4 linked regions of the Drosophila melanogaster genome follow. The protein of the gene in region 4 interacts with the protein of the main gene of each other region in a pairwise test. Each region holds a gene or a part of one and is shown on either strand. Other genes may lie near its edges.

The links.
Region 1: the proteins of CG3517 (region 4) and CG31122 interact in a two-hybrid assay, tested with the Drosophila melanogaster proteins (one large-scale study listed by BioGRID).
Region 2: the proteins of CG3517 (region 4) and CG15784 interact in a two-hybrid assay, tested with the Drosophila melanogaster proteins (one large-scale study listed by BioGRID).
Region 3: the proteins of CG3517 (region 4) and CG34334 interact in a two-hybrid assay, tested with the Drosophila melanogaster proteins (one large-scale study listed by BioGRID).

Annotation. Positions count from the first base shown.
Region 1 is NT_033777.3:18,405,540-18,411,413, reverse strand, and holds CG31122 (uncharacterized protein), read left to right. Parts: upstream 1-1,553; 5' UTR 1,554-1,596; coding exon 1,597-1,916; intron 1,917-1,977; coding exon 1,978-2,082; intron 2,083-2,143; coding exon 2,144-2,795; intron 2,796-2,973; coding exon 2,974-3,139; intron 3,140-3,197; coding exon 3,198-3,532; coding exon of another isoform or gene 3,533-3,949; 3' UTR 3,950-5,350; downstream 5,351-5,874. Other genes in the region: CG10864 (uncharacterized protein), read left to right, coding at 44-1,213; CG7685 (uncharacterized protein), read right to left, coding at 5,607-5,874.
Region 2 is NC_004354.4:5,427,913-5,433,066, forward strand, and holds CG15784 (uncharacterized protein), read left to right. Parts: upstream 1-1,658; 5' UTR 1,659-2,767; coding exon 2,768-4,432; 3' UTR 4,433-4,614; downstream 4,615-5,154. Other genes in the region: CG16756 (uncharacterized protein), read left to right, coding at 1-43, 109-254.
Region 3 is NC_004354.4:22,871,234-22,875,899, forward strand, and holds CG34334 (uncharacterized protein), read left to right. Parts: upstream 1-1,578; 5' UTR 1,579-1,782; coding exon 1,783-3,909; 3' UTR 3,910-4,134; downstream 4,135-4,666.
Region 4 is NT_033777.3:19,423,244-19,426,866, reverse strand, and holds CG3517 (uncharacterized protein), read left to right. Parts: upstream 1-1,667; 5' UTR 1,668-1,809; coding exon 1,810-2,958; 3' UTR 2,959-3,088; downstream 3,089-3,623.

The sequences.
Region 1 (5,874 bases), 1.0 Mb from region 4:
CCGGAATCTGTGGAATCGGTTATATAATCCATGTGCGACTAAAATGGCCAGCAAATTTCAGAGGAAACCATCTCCCGGCGGAACTGTAGGCATGGGAGGGGGGCCATCGAGTGTTTCCTCTACGCCGAGCAACCAGCCGAGGAAAAGGGTGAAACGCTGCTGCCGCAACTTCGTCACCTTTATGTGCACCCAGGTGGGCGTGGGCGCTCTGATCGTGATCTATGCCATCTGTGGAGCATTCGCCTTCATGCACATCGAGCGCCAGTTTGTGGACGAGACGGCTGGCCATGTGATGGAGCTGCGTCAGAACTGCTCCCAGCAGCTGTGGAGCATCACGGAGCAGCACAACATAATCGATCGTCGACGCTGGACGGAGGCCACGAACGATGTACTGAGGGAGTACCAGTCGCAAATAGCCGGAGTTGTCAAACACGGCTATGTGGGCAGAAGTCCAGAGCAGATCTGGAGCTTTCCGGCTGCCCTAATGTTCTGCCTGTCGGTGATAACCATGATTGGCTACGGCAACATGGTGCCACGAACTCCGTGGGGCAAGGGATTCACCGTGATCTATGCCACCTTTGGCATACCGCTCTACATCCTGTACTTCCTCAACATGGGCAGAGTGCTGGCCAGATCGTTTAAGTTCCTCTACCGATCACTGCACGACTGCACCCAGGAGCACCCGCGCCTGGATCGAATGGACGCCCTTGAGGGTGGTGTTGGCATGACACGCAAAAAGGTCATTGTGCCGTCGACCGCTTGCCTGTGGGTCATTTTCTTTTACGTTCTCACCGGCACCGTGATGTTTGCCAATTGGGAGAAGTGGAGCTTACTGAACAGCTTTTACTTCTGCATGACCTCGCTGTGCAAGATTGGATTTGGCGACTTTGTGCCCGGTGCCTCGCTGACTACCAGTGCGGATGTGAATGCAGCGACGCAAAAGTTGCAGGAGGACATTTCAGCCGATCCTGCCGAGCTGGCCCAGCTACAGTCCGTGGCCGCCGATCAGCACTCCAAATTGGCCATCAATTTTGTCTACATGCTGCTGGGCATGGGTCTGGTGGCCATGTGTCGCAACCTGATGCGCGAAGAGGTGCGCCTAAAGGCACGCGAGATGCGCGAGGACGCCAAACTTTGCATGGAGGACACCAGGCTGCGATTCGTTGGCTGTTGCGGGAATCCTAGGGACGCGTACGAGGATGATTACTACTAGGATAAGAAGAGGTTGTTAGGAGGGGTTTCAAACAAGGACGTCCCTTATTTAGATTTATATTTCATCACTAATCCGAAATGGTTCTATTCTGATGGAACTAAAGAAAAAGCAAGTGTATTATAAGAAGATCGTATTTAGCTTTAGGGTTATAGTTCTGTAACAGAAGTGGTCTATATCATCAGTTATTCTATTCAGAACTTTCGAAAGTATATTGATTTGTGAAAGTTTTCAAAAAAGAGCGTTTGTGTGTGAAGCTGTGAAAATGATGCTGTGATTGGTTAATGCCCACCAAGTAAAGTAATCCCCCATGAACCGATTCGATCCCGCAGCTCACCATTGATCAATTCCTGCAACTGCAAGAGCGGATCCGTAACTTCGAGGGCATGCTTGGCGGCGGCAGCGGGGAGCGTCTGTGCACGCCAAGCACTTCGGCCGGCCCATTCCGCATCTTTTCCGTGGCCGGATTCCAGAACCGGGCCAATGACATCGTCTACTGCCCGCCGATCGTGCGCCAGCACTCGGTGCACGTGCCGGAGGACTCCACGGCCATAATCTATTTTGGTGGGGACGTGCAGGACTTCCCGGAGAGCATGGAGACGAACCGTGACAGTCGGGGCTACATGAAGTACAACCTCGAAAACTCGGCCATCCTTCTGCGCGAGGCCTTTCCCCGGTCACACATCATCGTCATCCGGCCCGTGCGGTTAGTTTTTGCATATTTTAATAATAATTTATAAATAATATAAACGCATTTTCATTTGCAGCATGGAGTTCAAGACATTCAGTTGCTTTGACAATTTTGTTCGGGGCAACAACGCTGGAGTTCCGGATCACACGCCCATGAACCATGCCCTCCAGCATCTAGAAAAGTAAGTTCATAGTGTACAATTCAAGAATGCTCTTATTAATAACAATTGTTTATCCCCACAGACTGCTTCAGAATCTATCGCAGCGCCTGATCTCCATACCAGAGAACGAAATTCTGGATCAGGCCGCCCAGGCAGCGGCTGCTGCGGCGGCAGTGGCTGCTGCTGCTGCGGCCGCAGCTTTAACGCTATCCAACGCCACGGTCACCTCGGAGTCCAACTCACAATCGGCACCGGCCAACGACAGCAGCCAGGAGATGGACATTGATATATTGCAGGTGCAGGAGAATATCACAGTGGACGCGGATGGGGCAGTAATATTTCCGATAGTTGGCAACGAAGTGCCAGAGGCAGTGAACAATGTATCCGGGAATAATGGCAACATCGGTGGTGGCGGTAACGATGATAGTGTAAACAACCACCAAGAGCAAGTGAACAACCAGCAGCTCCAGCAGCAGCAGCAAACGGCGGCAGCCATCAAGATGACTTCTCCCACAACGGCGATAAATGCCACCAACAATGTGGAGCACTACAACAACGATTGTGGTACGAGGCAGGCTTCCGCTGCCTCTGCAACAACAGCCTCGGCAACGGGCACCTCCACATCAACGGCAAGCAGCGATAGCAATCCGCTGTGGTGGCGGGAGAACCTCAATCTGGACAAATCCAAGCTGGTGCTGATTGGCTTTAGCAAGGGCTGCGTCGTGCTCAATCAAGTGAGTCGCGTTTGGTTCGTTACCTAGTTGATCCACTCGCCAATACGCCAGCTTCAATCCTATGCAGAAGTGTCGATGGAGCGTGTAGAGTATAAATCTAAACGCTGAATCGGTATCTGAGGATTGTGGCCCATACCCAACTGACCATACTTATCTGCACTTTCTTTTTTGTTTATAGTTCATCTACGAGTTCCACTATCTTAAGACGCTCACGCCCGACGACAGCAGCATGTGCCGCCTTCTCTCCCGGATTTCAGACATGTACTGGCTGGATGGCGGCCATGGGGGCCAAAAGAACACTTGGATCACGTCCCGTAGCTTGCTGGAAACACTAACGCGGATGGGTAAGTGGAGAGAGAGTAAATGCCAAGTTGAGTCAACTAACGAGTGGGAGTCTTTAAGCAGGCATGAACATCCATGTCCACCTGACGCCCTACCAGGTGCAGGATGATCGCCGACCCTGGATTAGAAAGGAGGAGAAGTTGTTTACGGAGATGCTACGTAGGCTGAATGCGCCGATCACCCGGCACTTGCACTACGACAACCAGCCAGCGAATCTGATGACCCACTTCGAGGTGCTGCAGGCATTTTGCCAGCACGTCCACGCGCTCAACCAGCAGCAACAGCAAATGCAGCAGCAGCAGGGTGTCGGCATCAGTGAGCAGTCTTCGGCGGCGGTGGCCGCCACCAACAATGGGAGCAACAATCTATTGGAAGCCGGCGAGGAGGCAAAGTGACAGCTGCAACTGCATCCGCATCACCACAGGCGTCGCTTGCATGCGATGCGCAAGGGTACCGCCGCCCTCAAGCGTCAGCAGGTGGCGCAGCTGCGCCAGCACCACCAGCAGCTGCTGGCTGCCGCCCCGGAGCTCGCGCTGGCCTCCTCATCGCGCCTGGCTGCGGCCCTGATCTCGTCGGCGGTGGCTCTGAGCGCCTCGTCCGCGAGCCTTGTAAATAGTCATCACCACAGCCATATGCAACAACAGCAGACGCAGCAGCCGCCACAGGCGCGCCATCATCACCATCCGGCAACATCACACAGGCATCACCACCACCAACACCACTCACATCACCACTCGCACCACCATCATCATCATCATCAGTGTCGCTCGAAACGCAAACTGCAGAAATTGTATTATACGCTTTGCCGTTAGATCTGTAGCCTAACTATATCTATGTGTACTTGTACGAGAGAAAGTTTCTTAGAACCACCAGCAGCATCAGCACTTAGCTTAAGTGGAGTCACACCTACCACGTCCTATATATATTATATGTATGTCCAGTCCCTTCGTCCCTTCATTTTTTGTACATGTATTTATTTATTCCCCTTTTTGTTCGTATTTTGTATCTTTGATCATCGCATTTTTGTAATTCGTCCCAAACTGAAAGCAAAATCTCATCAGTGCAATAATATACATAATCCGAATATATATATATCTATATATTTATATATATGCGTATTTATATATATGCTGATTTTACAGACCTCTCTTATTTTATACAAACACTCCATGCTATTTATTTGTAATTGATGAAAAGATTTGTGATTTGCGCACATGATATAAAGTAAACATCGTAGAGCAAGCACTGTAATCGTAGCGTGTCTCAAGCAATTTATGTTTTAAGTACCCCAATGAATTTATACATCATCCGCACAGACGCATTAATCTAACCAGCCTAAAATCTAAATCACACACACCCACAAAGCCCTCTGATTAAGTATTACTTAGCGTACGTAAGCTAACTTTAAGTTGCAACTGGCAAAAAGCAAGCCACAACAACAAATGTACTTTACTTAGGTTGATCCCCAGTTTCCATCGCAAACTGGGGGCAAAGTATCAAATTTGTGAGACGAGAGCGTCGATAGCAATATAGCAATCAGCTCGTCCAGGCATAGACGACGTAGTTTTCTCTGATTGTGCTGGGCAAGTCAAAGAAGAAGTACTCAATGCAAATGCAAGTGAATAAAGTGAATTTTGCCAATTCAGATCCGAGAAGTAATTGTAAATGCGATGGCGCGCGTTCCTTAAACTAATTATGTATATCGATGTGGAGATCATTACCGCTTCCGCTTATCATCCAAAACAAGACAAGAAAGCCAGCCAAGAAAGCAAACCAAGAGAAAATCCAGTGAGACGTACTGTGCATATAAGGGAAAAATTAATTACACACAAAATTTCGTACCTTGTAGAATTTGCAGTTCAAAATTGCTTTAGAGTTTGTCGATGTACATTTTACGGATTAAACTGCACAAAACATTTTTAGGCAAGAAGAACCATATTAACTAAAATTACAGACGGTCGTAGATGTAAATTGAACATTATAAATGAAAACGCTGCGAATTCGAAACCAAAAATCGCGCAGAGAAAGTCGAGCAAAAAAAAGAAAACAAAACAAAAAAGGAATTCCCAATGTAAATTCTACTGATTTTTGTGAGTCTGGTAATAAAATGAATAAGCATATATGGATAAAATGGCAGCTTCTTTTTTTCACATGTCCACAAAGATCTAATCTTGCAGCTGCTCCTCTGGCACCAAATTAAACATAGTTTTAAACAAATTGTACACATTAAATCCATCAGATTCTTTGAATGTGAAAACTGGAACAGGCCACATTGTGTTTCTTGGAATTCGTTTCTTTTATTCAATCTACTTATTTTAAAATAAATTACAATTCTATTGTACTCGTACAAAAAATATCGCTTGTGATGCGCCGCCCGACATCTTCATCCTTGAGATTGGTGTCCTAGGTGCACAGGTGGAGGAGATGGAAGAGGAATGGGAGTGGGAACGGGGTCCCGTCGGCCTGCGACTACGCACAGTCGTTGGGACACTTGGTCGCCGTGCTCCACTCATCGCTGCCGTCGCAGCAGTCGCACACGTGGTCATTAATGCGGCTGCTGGCCACGTAGATATCCAGGCCCCGGCCCGTGATGTGACGCTTCTGGTAGCGACAGTAGAATCGCCCCTTGGCGCAGGCATTCGTGCTGGGCTCGTCGCTGCCGTCCTCCTCACAGTCGCAGTAGTTGTCGTTCAGGTGGTCGAACGGGATCTCTTTGGAGCCGTCCAGACACCGGAAC
Region 2 (5,154 bases), on a different chromosome or scaffold from region 4:
CAGGAGGGAAGGCGTGGCGGCATTTGCAATGCCAAGTGCGAAGGTTTGTGAGGGCTGCTCTGGCAAATCGTATTCTATTCAAATTTAACTAAATATAAATATTTTTAGATTTTTTGGACGAAAATTTAAGGGAGTCGGTTACTTGCGCCAAGCGCATCCAAACCTCGGATGGTTTTCGTCATTGGGCAGGATGGCAACGATATTGCCGAAACGCCCAAAATCTGCCTAATCTTAAGGTTATCTGTGGGATCTAGATGTAATTAATTTAATGATTTCAATTTGTAACAAATAAATATTATATATGTATATGCCGTGAAATAATTTCAAAAGACTAAATAGTTTCAATACCTAAGAGAGCTCTGCTTCCAAAATTAAAATTATATTATTACATTTTGATAAATTCGCGTTTACGATACAGTCGATTGTTCCGAATCCAAATCGATTTCGGAATGTGTTGAGTTTCGGGTTCAACAAAGCTTACGATCAGTTTAATACTTTAACACTCTGGCAACCCTACTCGCTCTCTATTTCTCTCCGAGTTTCGTTCATTATCAAGTGAACGAAAGCTTTAAGCTTTCTCGCCAAAAACTTTGTGGAGCAATGGAGTGGCACTATCTCGCTTACGTGGGGCTTTCATTTGGCGACATCGGCCGAACAAATCGGAGCGTTTTTTCGCAACGTGTTCACAAGATATCAAAAGTCATTGAGAATTAATAAAATATGAAAAGTCAAGAAAAGAAAAGTATATCCCAGTGCCCAGTGCCAGAGATTCCGTTCTCTTATAAAAGAATCGCATTTCATGGATATATATACATATATCCTAAACAATCCCTATGGGATGATATTGTGCCCTATTGCGATCGCCTTACATAAGTTGCCCATACCCCAACCAATATACATAAGTATATACTATGTGACTCATATTTCCCTGCCCCCCAAACGGTTCTCCAGTTTCTGAGAAACTGGAAATGCTATAAACAAGATCCAAAGATCTGATGCCTCAGTCGTTGAGCTGCGTTGTGATAAAGTTGATGCAAAAATGAAAACTCAAGTGTATACTCATTTTTTGTTTTCGTGTTCAAGTCCCAAGAGGTCCCATGAAATTTACAAACATACATAGTTGCCGAACTATGTTTACTCCCATTTTATGAATAAGTGCTCCCCTGATATGGGTTTCTCAAGAAATCTCACCAAAACACCCTGCTGCCATATTAAAATTCTGTGAATGATAATGAAATTGAAGAATAAATAAATATATTTCGTATTGTTTTCAAACAAAAAGTTCCAAATATTGCCTATAATGTGAAGTCCCATTTTGCGTATGAGAAGTGTGATGTTTTGAATACCCCTTTTTAAATCTGTGATTTCTTACGTTTTTCCGTTTACCAAATATTTATGAAATTTTTAAAACATAAATAAAAAATCATATGCGTAATCAGTATTTTCTGATTTGTGGTGAAATTCGTAAAGAAGACCTTCAAAAATATATTGATGTGTTATTGGTGCAAATATAAATGTATATAATATATATAATTTATATATAATTTTGAAATTCTACTTATCAAAAGAATCGATGTTGTGGTGATGTGCTGATCTCTATGCAATAAATTAAATAGTTTTAAGTGTATTTTTTCAATATAAATATATAAAATAAAAAAACAGCCTGTGTTGAATTTTTGTTGCATTGGAATTTAAGTTCCAATATGAAAAATGTCATTTACAGATGGATTATCTACTTAGTGCATGAGTGATAACTAATCATGGAGCATTATGAGCATATCCATCTGAGAATGTAACGAATGATCCCTGATCCCTGATCCCCGATGCCTAAATGTCCTGCAAAGTGAGTTCGGTTCCTTTTTGGGCTGTGAACTTTGCCAGGAAGACCACCAATTCCATTTTCCAGACTGTTCTTTATCCATTTCGATATTTGCAGTGTCTGGCGAAATTCAGCATAGACTTAATTTCGTTAATTTGAATCATTTGTTTAGTTTTTTCTTGTGCTGCGTTTTGTGGAGCTATTTCATCACATGACGAAACTCTTGCAAAAAATTCCCCACTGCCAAAGCTTTTTTTGAAGCGTTATTCCGGTTTTATTTAGCTTTGTTTTGTTTTGTTTTGATAATCGGAGAACGACGCAAAATCCACGTACTCGATAGCAAATTGTGAAAACAAACGCGCGCGTTGGTATTGGTGAGAGAGCAGCGAGCTACAGACGAGCCTCCCTAACGTGGACCTAGATCAACCGCACTCACGTTAGTCTCAATCAATGTGTTGCAAATAATATTATTTTTTTTTTGTTATTTAGCGCCAGTTTTTAGAATATGTTAGATGCACATTTAGATTGCAGATTTTGTTTATTTAGATACGTTTTATATTTCATGGATTGAATTTTAAGGCCAAGATTCACACACCTATAAATTTGCGAAGGGCTTTTTCTGTTGTCTATTGAAATGTTTAATTTGTATTGAGGTTCCACTGTTCCCCGTTTTTGTTCTGCGACGCATTTCAGTGCTCCACCAGTGGGGCGTTCTCACCGCTTCCTTGCCCCTTTGCCCCTTTGCCGCCTTGCCGCTCCGCTGGCGCCGCCAACCGCCGACGCCGCTGAGCGTATAAAAAGTGCCGGCCGGCAAGCGAATGGCATCAGTTTGCAAGCTTTCAGCTTTGTGGCATAGCGTATCCCAGCGAACTCTAAACCGTTAAACCAAGCAAAAAAGCAACTAGTATTACACCAGTGAAGGTAAATCGCATTGAAGATACTATCAACATGAGCGAGTTGTCCAGACTGCAGCAGCAGCAGCAGCAGGATCAGGATCGGGAGCGTGTTTCCCAAGAGCTGATCGACTGCGATATTGACTTTGTGGAGGATACGACCTCCAAGGTGGAGGAGGAGGCCAGGATGCCACCAGCCAGTTCCAAGCGATACACCAAAGCCCTGAAGAAGGTGACCAAGGTGCAGCGCATGCTGGAGCAGGCCATGATCCTGCTGGCCGAGGAGGAGGCCAGGTGTCGGCAGCAGGAGCAGGAACAGGGCACCAAAAGGACCAAGAAGCAGCTGAAGAAGAAGGCCAAGAAGGACAAGAAGAAGGCCAAGAAGCTGGCCAAGCAACAGGCCAAAAAACAGGCGGAAGAGCAGACGGCGGCTGGCGAGGAGCCCTCCAACACCTCCAGCTCCAGCTCTTCCAGCTCCAGCTCATCCAGTTCCAGCTCCTCCAGTTCGAGCTCCAGCTCCGAGGACGAAGAGGTATTCTATAACGGTTACGGCTGGATCAGCAATCCATGGCGCCGAGGACCACATGGCCATCACGGCTTCGGTCGTCGTCTTGGCCACGGTTTTGGCCACAAGCATGGTCGCAAGCATGGCCACAAACATGGTCACGGGCCGCATCATCATGGCCGACATGGACATCATGGACGGCCGCACCACCACCATCCGCATGGTCACCACTTTGGTCCCCATTTTGGACCACACTTTGGACCTCACGCTGGGCCCTCTCCCTTTGACTTCGATCGGAGATCCTTTCGCGGACCTTGGCATGATCAGTCCCAGTTTTTTCAATGGATGGGCCTGCCGTGGGCCCTGGACAATGCCGCGGCCAATCGGAGGAGCCACTCGCTGCCTAGACTATCTAGGCGCGACTGTCGTGGAGATCTCGGATTCGGATTCGGACCAGGATACGGATACGGATATGGCCAAACGCGTCCACGACATGGCCGTCGACTAGAGAGATCACTTTCCCGTTCAACATCCGGTTCGCTGGAGAGGAAGCACTGCCGCAAGCCGAGGTCCAGTTCCAGTTCCAGCTCCAGTTCTTCCTCGGAGGATGAGAAGAAGAGGCAGAAGTGCAAGGGCAAGGGAAAGGGCAAGGAGAAGAAAAGACAGCAGCGCTCCTCATCCAGCTCCTCATCGAGCTCCAGCTCCAGCTCCAGCTCCAGCTCCAGCTCCAGCTCCAGCTCCGATGGCGAAGTGCAGAAGATTCCCCATCGACGCGGGCACCACTTCGGACCTCCACATGGCCACCACCACTTTGGTCCGCGCCATGAAGGTTACCGTCCCCATCACGGCGGACACCATGGCCATCACTTTGGTCCACATCATGGTCCATTTGTCGAACATGGACATGGCCCCCAATTCGGACCATTCTTTGACGTTCCCCAAAGAGAATCCGGTGAAGGACCGCGTTTTGAGCACCAGCCCCGTCCGGAGTTTCCTATTGCCCATCATCGACCACCACCAGCTGAGTTCCCTCCAGGTCGTCGCAGTCGTTCTCTGTCCCGATCCCACTGCCGCAAGGAAAAGCAGGAGAGTTTCCCCAAAGTCGAGAGGGAGGAGCGCAAGAAGGGCAAAAAGAAGCACGGAAAACGCGCTCATGGACATGGGCATGGACATGGACATGGACATGGCCATGGACATGGACATGGACGTGATTAGGCAATCGCAGCCAGCGTTTAAGATGCATTAAGATTCCTTCAATACAACCTCCCACACATATAACCTTCAATATTACTATACATTTAACACCCAGAAGCTTCTATTCTATTATTCTATAAAAAATCATTAAAAAAACATCTAAAAAAATGAAATTAAATAAAAAAAAAACAAAACTCAAATCTATATACTTCGTATTTTTTATGGAAACTTAATTTATTTATTTTCTTCTCCACGGTACAAGTGCATTCGTTAAGCTCAACTATATAATACCCATTACTTTCTGAGTGCGATTGCAAATGACTCAATTGCATTATTAATGCAGCTGGCGGAAATGAATTAAAACTACACTTTAAACTAGATACATTACGAGTGAGTAATTACTCTATTTGTGTTGCTTAAGTTGGGGAAATGCGAATGGGGGGCTTATGGACATTACGCACCGCGATAAGATTGGTGTATTCCTGCAGAGGTTTTTCCCCAACCAAATGACAATGCAATGGCAGCGATAACAAGCTTGATAGGCTTATCAAATTATAGGTTTTTCACCTGGTTAAATATTATTGTTTTGACACTGCAAAACTCGCAAATTAACCCATTTTAGATTAATTGGTTGGGTTTATATTGTAACAACCTGTGGATGAATCGCGGACGCAGAATGTTGACTGCATTCTCTCCTTCAAGTGGGTACAGTTTGTGGTCGCAACTGTTCTCAGCTGCGGAGG
Region 3 (4,666 bases), on a different chromosome or scaffold from region 4:
GAGTCTGAATTGTCGTCGGTGGGCCAGTGGGCCAGATGATTTTTCTAGTGGGACAAAAGTCACATTTTTAAATATTTAAATACAGTTTTTTCTTTTTTAACTGACTCTAACTGACTATCCGTCTGAGCCTATAAGAGTTAGCATAAGAGTTTTTGCTTGTTTAAACATATGTTTCAGCGCGTGGTCATTAAATATTTGGCGTAACGTTTCGTATTTGTTTATTGACCTTTAATTTAAACAAAGTAAAACAAATTCAATTAACAACTTATGTTAACTTTAGGAAATAAATGTTCGAAATAAAAATAATGTGTTTGTGACCCGCATTTTTATGTTTAGTAAAAACAAGTGTTCGAAGTTTTTATTTTACCAGGTATGGCATTACGCTTGAATTTAGCATATTTGGACTATAACTAACCTTGTTCACTCTTGTTCGAGCTGATTTAAGCATTTATGTAACGTGTGAGCCTTTGTGTCGTTGATTTTTTCAGAATTATATCCAACTTTGACCAACTGTAAAGTCTGTCAGCCCCAAAGCGTGTGCTTCATTCCAATTGGCTTAGCGAAACTGATCCCGCATACCAAAAGTAATTGGTATTTGGTACACTTTTAAAGAATCGTCAGCTTTCTGAAATATAATCTGAAAGAAAATCAACTAATTTTGACCATTTCAAAGCAGTCGACGATCTAGGGTGATCGCTGCCTAATGAGTGATTGAAGAAAAAAATAAAGAATGTAAGAGTTAATCAGTAATTATATGTATGTGTAATAAAACAAGAAAGCATACCGGAATGCTTCACCTTTGGGGAGATGGGGCTGTCCTAGTCGTTTGAAGCGACACCGACGTGTTGATAATGAGTGATGTCCGCAATAATCCTTCGTGCAACCTAGGTCGGTTGGGTGCCAGTACTTTAAGATTTTGTCGTTTATGTAAATTGAATTCGTTTTTTTTCTTCTACTTTTTTTTGCTTGTCTGCTTTTTAGAGATCATAGATATGTAGGGTCGATAGTCGATGTCGATAGTTATCGATGCCTATGTTGCAAGCTGTGTGGCACTCCGCCCTGAGAAAAGCCTGAGCTAGGGGCACTGCCACTAAAAAAAAGAAGGCAGTTCGTAACATACATATATAGGTTAAGTTAATCTGCGAATCTGCACACTTTCTTACAACTAACTTCCTATCTTTTATACTTCCTGTGAGCCCGACGTTTATACGGACAGACAGACGGACATTGTTCATTTGATCAAAATTTGATATGTCATATTAATTGCTAGTTATAATAAAGAGATCATAGTTTCGGTGCTTTTAATTATAAAGTGTTTTTACTTGGTATACAACAAATTTGTATTTAAATGTATAGTAACTGGAAGGGTATATAAACTTTGTATTACCGATGCTACCTTCCTTTTCTTGTCTGTGTATATTTAAATTATGTTGACAGGTGATAGGAATGCCTTCCCTGAATGACGATAGTTACAGCCCTGATTTCGAAGTGTTGGACAACGATTATATCCTTAATGTGGTCTGGTCTAGTGTTAAATTGCTTGAGAATTCGTTACTGCGGTGACCTAAGGTGGCAACCACAAAGCAAAAAAGTTGTTATCTATCATTGAGTGGCCTTTGCTTGGTCAGCTTTTATTTTTATGACAGTTGTCAGACCAAGTTTTTACACGCCATTACATTTTCATAAGGCAGCCGTTCCCAACGTGTGAGTAACGGAGCATCAAATCAAAATAGTTTCGAAGGCCGTCATATTTGTTCGCAGTGAAAGTGAAATCTTGTGAAAATGACCAAGGTATCAGGGACGAAGGCAAAAGACGATGGCGAGCCAGCCACTAAGCGCGAACGCAAGGAGATGCATTCGCACAAGAAAGATCGCAGGGAGCGATTGGAACGCATGGAGCGCATGGACCGCAGGGACCGCAGAGACCGCAGAGAACGCAGGGACCGCAAGGACCGCAAGGACCGCAAGGACCGCAAAGAGCCAGCCAGAGGCCCCTCCTCCCGGATGAGGAACATCTCACCAATTCACTCGAATGCTTCGGAGAGCACTGAAGCAGACTGCAGCGACTCCAGCTACTCGGACTCGAGCTACAGCACCTCTGGATCGTCCAGCTGCACAAGCTTTTTGAGCTCCACCAGCAGCAGCTACTCGTCGAGCGACAGCGAGCCAGAGCCAGAAGGATCCGTCAAAAAGTTTGAGCGCACCAAGCACTCGTGTTGCCATTACCGACACCATCGTCGCCATAGGCGCCACCAAAACCCTCGTCATTCGCACCGTCGCCGGCACGTCACCCGTTGCCATCACTCGAATCACGGACGCTTTTCCAAGCGTTTGGCTAAAAAGAGTCGTCGTGGCATATCCGCCGCCAAGGGAGCTATCACGGTTAAGGAGGAGGTTGTCGAAAAAATTTCTCCTGCTTCAGCCCCTGGGGTCATTCAGATACCGGCACCCATTCCGCTGCCCGTGCCGGCACCCATTCCGGCTGTCCTGTCTGTTTCGGAGGCACAACCGCGTTCCCACTCCCGTTCGCAATCGCACTCCCATCTCCATAGCCATTCCAGCTCCCATAACAATCCCCACCCGCAACCCGTTCCGGCCCCTGTTCCGGTACCAATTCCTGCTCCGATCGCCATGCCAACTCCTATGAGGGAGCCAAGCAGCGTGGTATTGGACCGCAAGTCTCGTAGACGCAGCTCCACCTCGCAGAACATCGCCTCGGCCGCCAGCAGTTCTATCGGCACCAACCAAGCCATCATCCAGTCTAGCACTATAACCATTACAAAGACGATTGCCAACGCCACTGGTATGGCCGAAACCAATTCAAGTGGCGGCGCTAGCATCTCCAGCACAAAAAATAAGGGGGACAGCAGTACCGGCCAATCTTCAAAGACGGTTGTCACCAATAACGCGGGCAGCAAGGCGGGTTACCAAGCCCCCAAGACTTCAGTGGCAAGCACATCTTCGAAAGCGGTGGTCAGGTCTAACGCAAGCGCCAGTTCAGGCCACGGGAACCACACCAGTTCCAGCTCGAGTTTCACCCAGCTGCACTCCAGTGCCAGGCCCTCGACAGCCAAAGATCACGACAAGAGTCCTCAGCAGAACCGCTCAGGCAGCTCAGGCCCCAAGGGCAAGTCGTCGAAGATCAACGATCCTCCACGTCGTGGCTCTTCACCGTCTGCTGGTGCAGAACCTACTCGCCAAAAACAAAGCGTTCAAAATCAAAATGGGCGGAATTGCAGCAGCCAGTGGAACCATCGGCGCGGTGAAGGGGATGGAGAAGGAGCAGAAGCAAGTGGACGGGGCTACAGAGCCGTGGGTGAGGTAAACAAAGTGGCCTACAGAAACGGAAAGGACGCCTTCAAATTTCGCCAACCCGTGCGCAATGTTCGCCTGCACATTAAGGGATTGACGCGTCAGGTGACCAAGGAGCACATAACCGAGATATTTGGTCACTTCGGCGCCCTGACGGCAGTCGACTTTCCAATGGACCGTTTCCAAGGGCGCCAGGGACGCGGATACGCCTTTGTGGAGTACTCACGTCCAGAGGACTGCGCCAGTGCCATCAAGCATATGAACGGCGGGCAGATCGATGGGAAGCTGATCAGGGTGTCCGCCTTTCAGGAAAGCATGCTAAAGGCGCCGTGGCGTCAATACCGACGTTACTCGCCAGTCAACCGGCGCCAGAGCCAGCGTACGTTGTCCCGCTCGGGCTCGTCGTCACGCTCTCGATCGCCGTCCCGCTCTGCGTCCGGCTCGGAATACGGGTCGCGGTCCTCCCACTCTCGCGTCCGCTCTATGTCGGGATCGCGCTATTCTCGGCGCAACCGTTCGCAATCGTGCTCCTACACTCGCTCATCGCCGCGCTACGGGCATTACCATCGCCCTAGACGCGATTCGCGTTCGCCCTAGATAGGCGGACCTGTCTAATGTTGCAAAAGGAAGGCGAGATTAAGCCAGACAGGATTTTCAGGACTCTGCCAGATGCCTATTTTATTCCATTCCAACTTCAAATACAAATGTAGACTTGATGGACATCGTGCGTTTTAAAAGTTACTTATTAATACCAGTCTAATTTAAAAACATTGTTGGGCTTAAAATAAATAAAAATAAAAATCCATGCTCCGCACAAAAAAGAATTGTGAGGTATATCAGAAAATAATCATCGTATGTAAGGTGGTTATCTGTTAGTAATAATATAAAAGCCCACTGCAATCAATCGATTACCAAAAGACAGGTAAATGGTATTTCGTAGAGAACGCTTAGAAAAAAAGTACCGCTATTCGATGTAAAATCAAGAACAAACCATATCGAAAGTACGGTAAGCCCAAAACTTGTATAAGGGTATAATATATATAATAGGGTATAATAGATTCGTTGAAAAGTATGTAACAGACATAAGGAAGCGTTTCCGACTATATTAAGTATATATATTCTTGATCAGGATCAATAGCCGAGTCGAGACAAGTCGTCTGTCCGTCTGTCCGTATGAACGTCGAGATCTCAGAAACTATAAAAGCTAAAAGGTTGAGATTCAGAATACAGATTGTAGAGACAAATGCGCAGTGAAAGCTTGCTGACCCGTGTTGCCACGCCCAATCGCCAACAAACCGCCCACACACTTTTTTTTGGTTTGTTCATAATTTTATTAGTCTTGTAAATTTCAATC
Region 4 (3,623 bases):
AAATATATATTAATCATATGGCAACCGTTATGATATTTTGCCAAACTTATTTTTGTTCTGTAACAATTTAAGCAGAGTTCAAAGTTTATTACTTTTAAAATGGTTGGCATATATCTTCAACATTAAAATATATCTAATATCAATCGATTAAACGAAACCTTAAAAAATATTACATAATCGGTGTTTTGCATAAATCTCTACAGATACATTTCGTGCCATTTGCTGTACATAAAACAATTTCCAGAGGTATTTTATTTCTGCTCGGAAAAATGGTTTCGATTGTAACTTTATACGGCAGACAGGTACTCCTATTGCCGCCTGACCATCGCCACGTGTCCGTTCCATGCTGTCAACTTTTATTGTTAGAGAAACGAATATGAATTTCTTGTGGGTCGCTTTTCCATTTTCCAAGAAAAATTGCCGGCTAACGAAGTCCGGCCGATAAGGCCCCGGCAACAACAGTTGGCCATTTTGTCTGGCCAAGATTTATGCGCGATTGCTCAAGTTTTATGAGTTACGTAGTTGCATTTTAGCCTAAAGAAAAAAGAAACAAGAGCCCGAAGGTTGTGGATTGAAATCGCTCATCTTCAGGACCGCACCGCGCTGCTATTTCATTATGAGTTAAACAAAGTTGTAACGACTTTTCTCCCTTTTTTTTTTTTTTGTCTGCGACAGATTATGGGGCTTTTGTGCTCTGCGATTAAAGCCAGTTTTCTTACACTTATGGCCAAAAAGTTCCCTGATATGCAAGGGGTCAAGTTGGAAGGACATTGAGCAAATGAAGATTTACATTCGTCAGCGATTTTTTTCCGTTCGCCTTTTCCATTAGAATAAATGTTATTAGATGACTCTTCGGTTCCCGTGACATTTGTCAACAGGAAACGGATATGGCAAAGCTTGTCTAATAAATTCTTTGATGTATTTACGCTGACGTTTCCCTTGGGAACGAGCTCAGGATGTCGTACTTTATTTATGCCACTGCCAGACGCATTTCTCACTCCCCAATGAATCATAAACTGACTCAATGCCGTCATCAACAATTACGAATGTATCCCGCCCAAAAAAAAAAAAAGGACATCCATTACGAAGGCCGCAAAAAGAGAAATGAAATGTCGCGTCGCCTACTTGGCGGCTGCCTGAAAATTTCCACTGTTGGCTTAACAAATATTTGACCCATCGAAACTTATACGTGTGTCTACAAGGAATGGGCAAACAAACGAAAACACAACTCAAACAATCTATGCCGTATCAAATGCCGCTTAGCCCCCGACAACATGAAAAGCCAAGAAAGTAACCAAATTTGGAGAAAATCCTGAGGCTTTGCCTTGTTATCTGACACTTGTGTTTATTTTGGGAATAGAAACACAATTTGGCCAAGAAAAACTTGGTTTTATAAAATGTTGTATGTTTTCATACCTTTACAGTACGACAATCTTTCCAAACAAAAATAGTGAATATTTTATTCTCTGATAAACGGAAAAGCATTTGATTGTTAAGAGACTTACAAATGAAAATGTACTGCGGATGTAGTTTGATTTATTGCAACAATTGTATTTCGCACTTGTGGTTATTTTTAAAAAAAACGAAATATTCCATTCCCGTTTTAGTTTACCAAATGGGAAAAACTCGAAATCTAGCAGCAATTGATCATTTTAAATCCTGTCAGGCGAACATTCGCCCATAACATTCATTTGGCTTGTCTCGTTTTATCAACTAGTTAGAAAAAAACTTTTAGGTAAAAAATTCGAAAATTGTTCATGCTGCAAGGAGTAGCGAACAGCATCAAAATAGAGGTAAGACCGATTCGCGATGCAGGCCCATCATGCGATGCCCGATTTCCGATGCCGGAATAATTGCCAGCACAAGGAGTGCCAGAGGCATGCTCCTTTGGGCATAATCGATCAGCACACCCAGTGCAAGTGCTTGGGCGAGGTAAATGCCTCATCGATTTTCCTAGAAAATGTCCTGGACCTGGCCAACACTTTGGCCCAGGTGATGATCATCTGTGGACTGCACGAGTGCAAAGCGAAATCAACCGTGGACATTATCACATATGCCTTCTTGCATTACGATCAGGTGTGCTATTGCATTGATACCACGCCCAAGAAGCGACTGAGAAAGGAGGATTTGTTCCACGAGCTGGGCAAGAAGTCGCTGATGAACAAGGTGGAGGCCCACTTGGCCTATGCCATCATCAAGAGGGGATTCAAGGCCTTCTACTACGAGCCGAAAGTGGACTTGACCTACGATGAGCAAGGCAGACCCTCGTACAACGATGAATGCGTCTGGGTCCACGCAGCCAGGAAGTCAGCCGAGTCCTATGCCCGCTTCGATGGCCTCTCCTGCGCCGAACAGTTGGCATACGAGGCCAAGATCAAAATAGCCTTCAAGAAGTTCTACGATCGCATGCAGACGCGCAAGAGGCAGCCGGAGGGCGACGATTGCAACTGCTGCTTCTGTGCCAAGAAGCGGGGACATCTGGTCTATGCCAAGGAACCGACTCCCTGCACTTCCAACAAAAAGAAGCCCAAGCACGTGTGTCCATATTGCTGCAAGAAGAAGCAGAAGCAGCAGTACACACACCCTGCTCGCCAGCCGGCCAAGTGCCCCAAGTGCCACAAGTCGCGCAAGTTCTGCTGCTGCACCAAAATGGACTTCAACTTGCAGTGGGTCAAGAGCATATGGGAGCGGCCGGACTTCAATCAGTACTACAAGAACGAGATCGCCGAAATCGAGGACCGCCTGGTCAAGGGAACCTGCTGGCTGCCGCCGGAGCCTGAGGAGAAGCTGCTCGATGAGGGCGAGGGCGAGGAGGAGGAGGAAGCCCACCAGGAAATGTCGCCGGAGGCTCTCCTCGCCCTCGGCGGCAAAACGGTGCCCACTATACCGGATGAAGGAAACGGTTCTCCACTGGCCACCAAACAGCCGTCGATCACCGAGGGTGAGGGCGAGACCTAAGTTTGAAGGATCCTGCGAATCGGCGCTTGCTAGATTTCTAAATTTTACTTTACTCTTGAGGAAAGCAGTTCTCAAAATTTTCAGTTCCAGCTGTTCTTCAACAATTTATCATTAAAGTTGTACTCAAGCTAGTTTATGTACTTTTCTGTAAACAAGGTTTCTTTTATTTTCGTTCCACATAGCCATGGTATCATTAAAGGATTAAGAGCCTTTCAAAAGTAAATTTTTCGAAGAAGTATAGCTCTTAAACAAAATTACTGCCAGACCTAAGGTAGCTCAAATGTTTAATAAAAGGTTTAAAATCAGAAGTTCATTCAATTGAATCTGGTTAAATTCCACCAACTTCACTTTTAATTACCCAAAGTAATGGCTCGAAAATAAGGGGAAGTGAGGAGGTCATATCAACTGCCTTATATTAAGACGGAAAATTGAGTTTGCTCTTAGGGGACACACACACCTAGCTCGAACAAACACGGCCGCATCCATTTGGCCCACTCACACTCTTGGCCACTTGGAAAACTAAACCGGCTGCGAAGAGCTGTGACCTGTGTTGGTGTCTGTGTCTACTTTGGCCGAAAGTGGCATGCAACAGTAATGGAAAATACATTTAATCTGGCTTATGCAGCAGCTCGGCCCGACGATAACTCGGGCGCACTTCATCACAG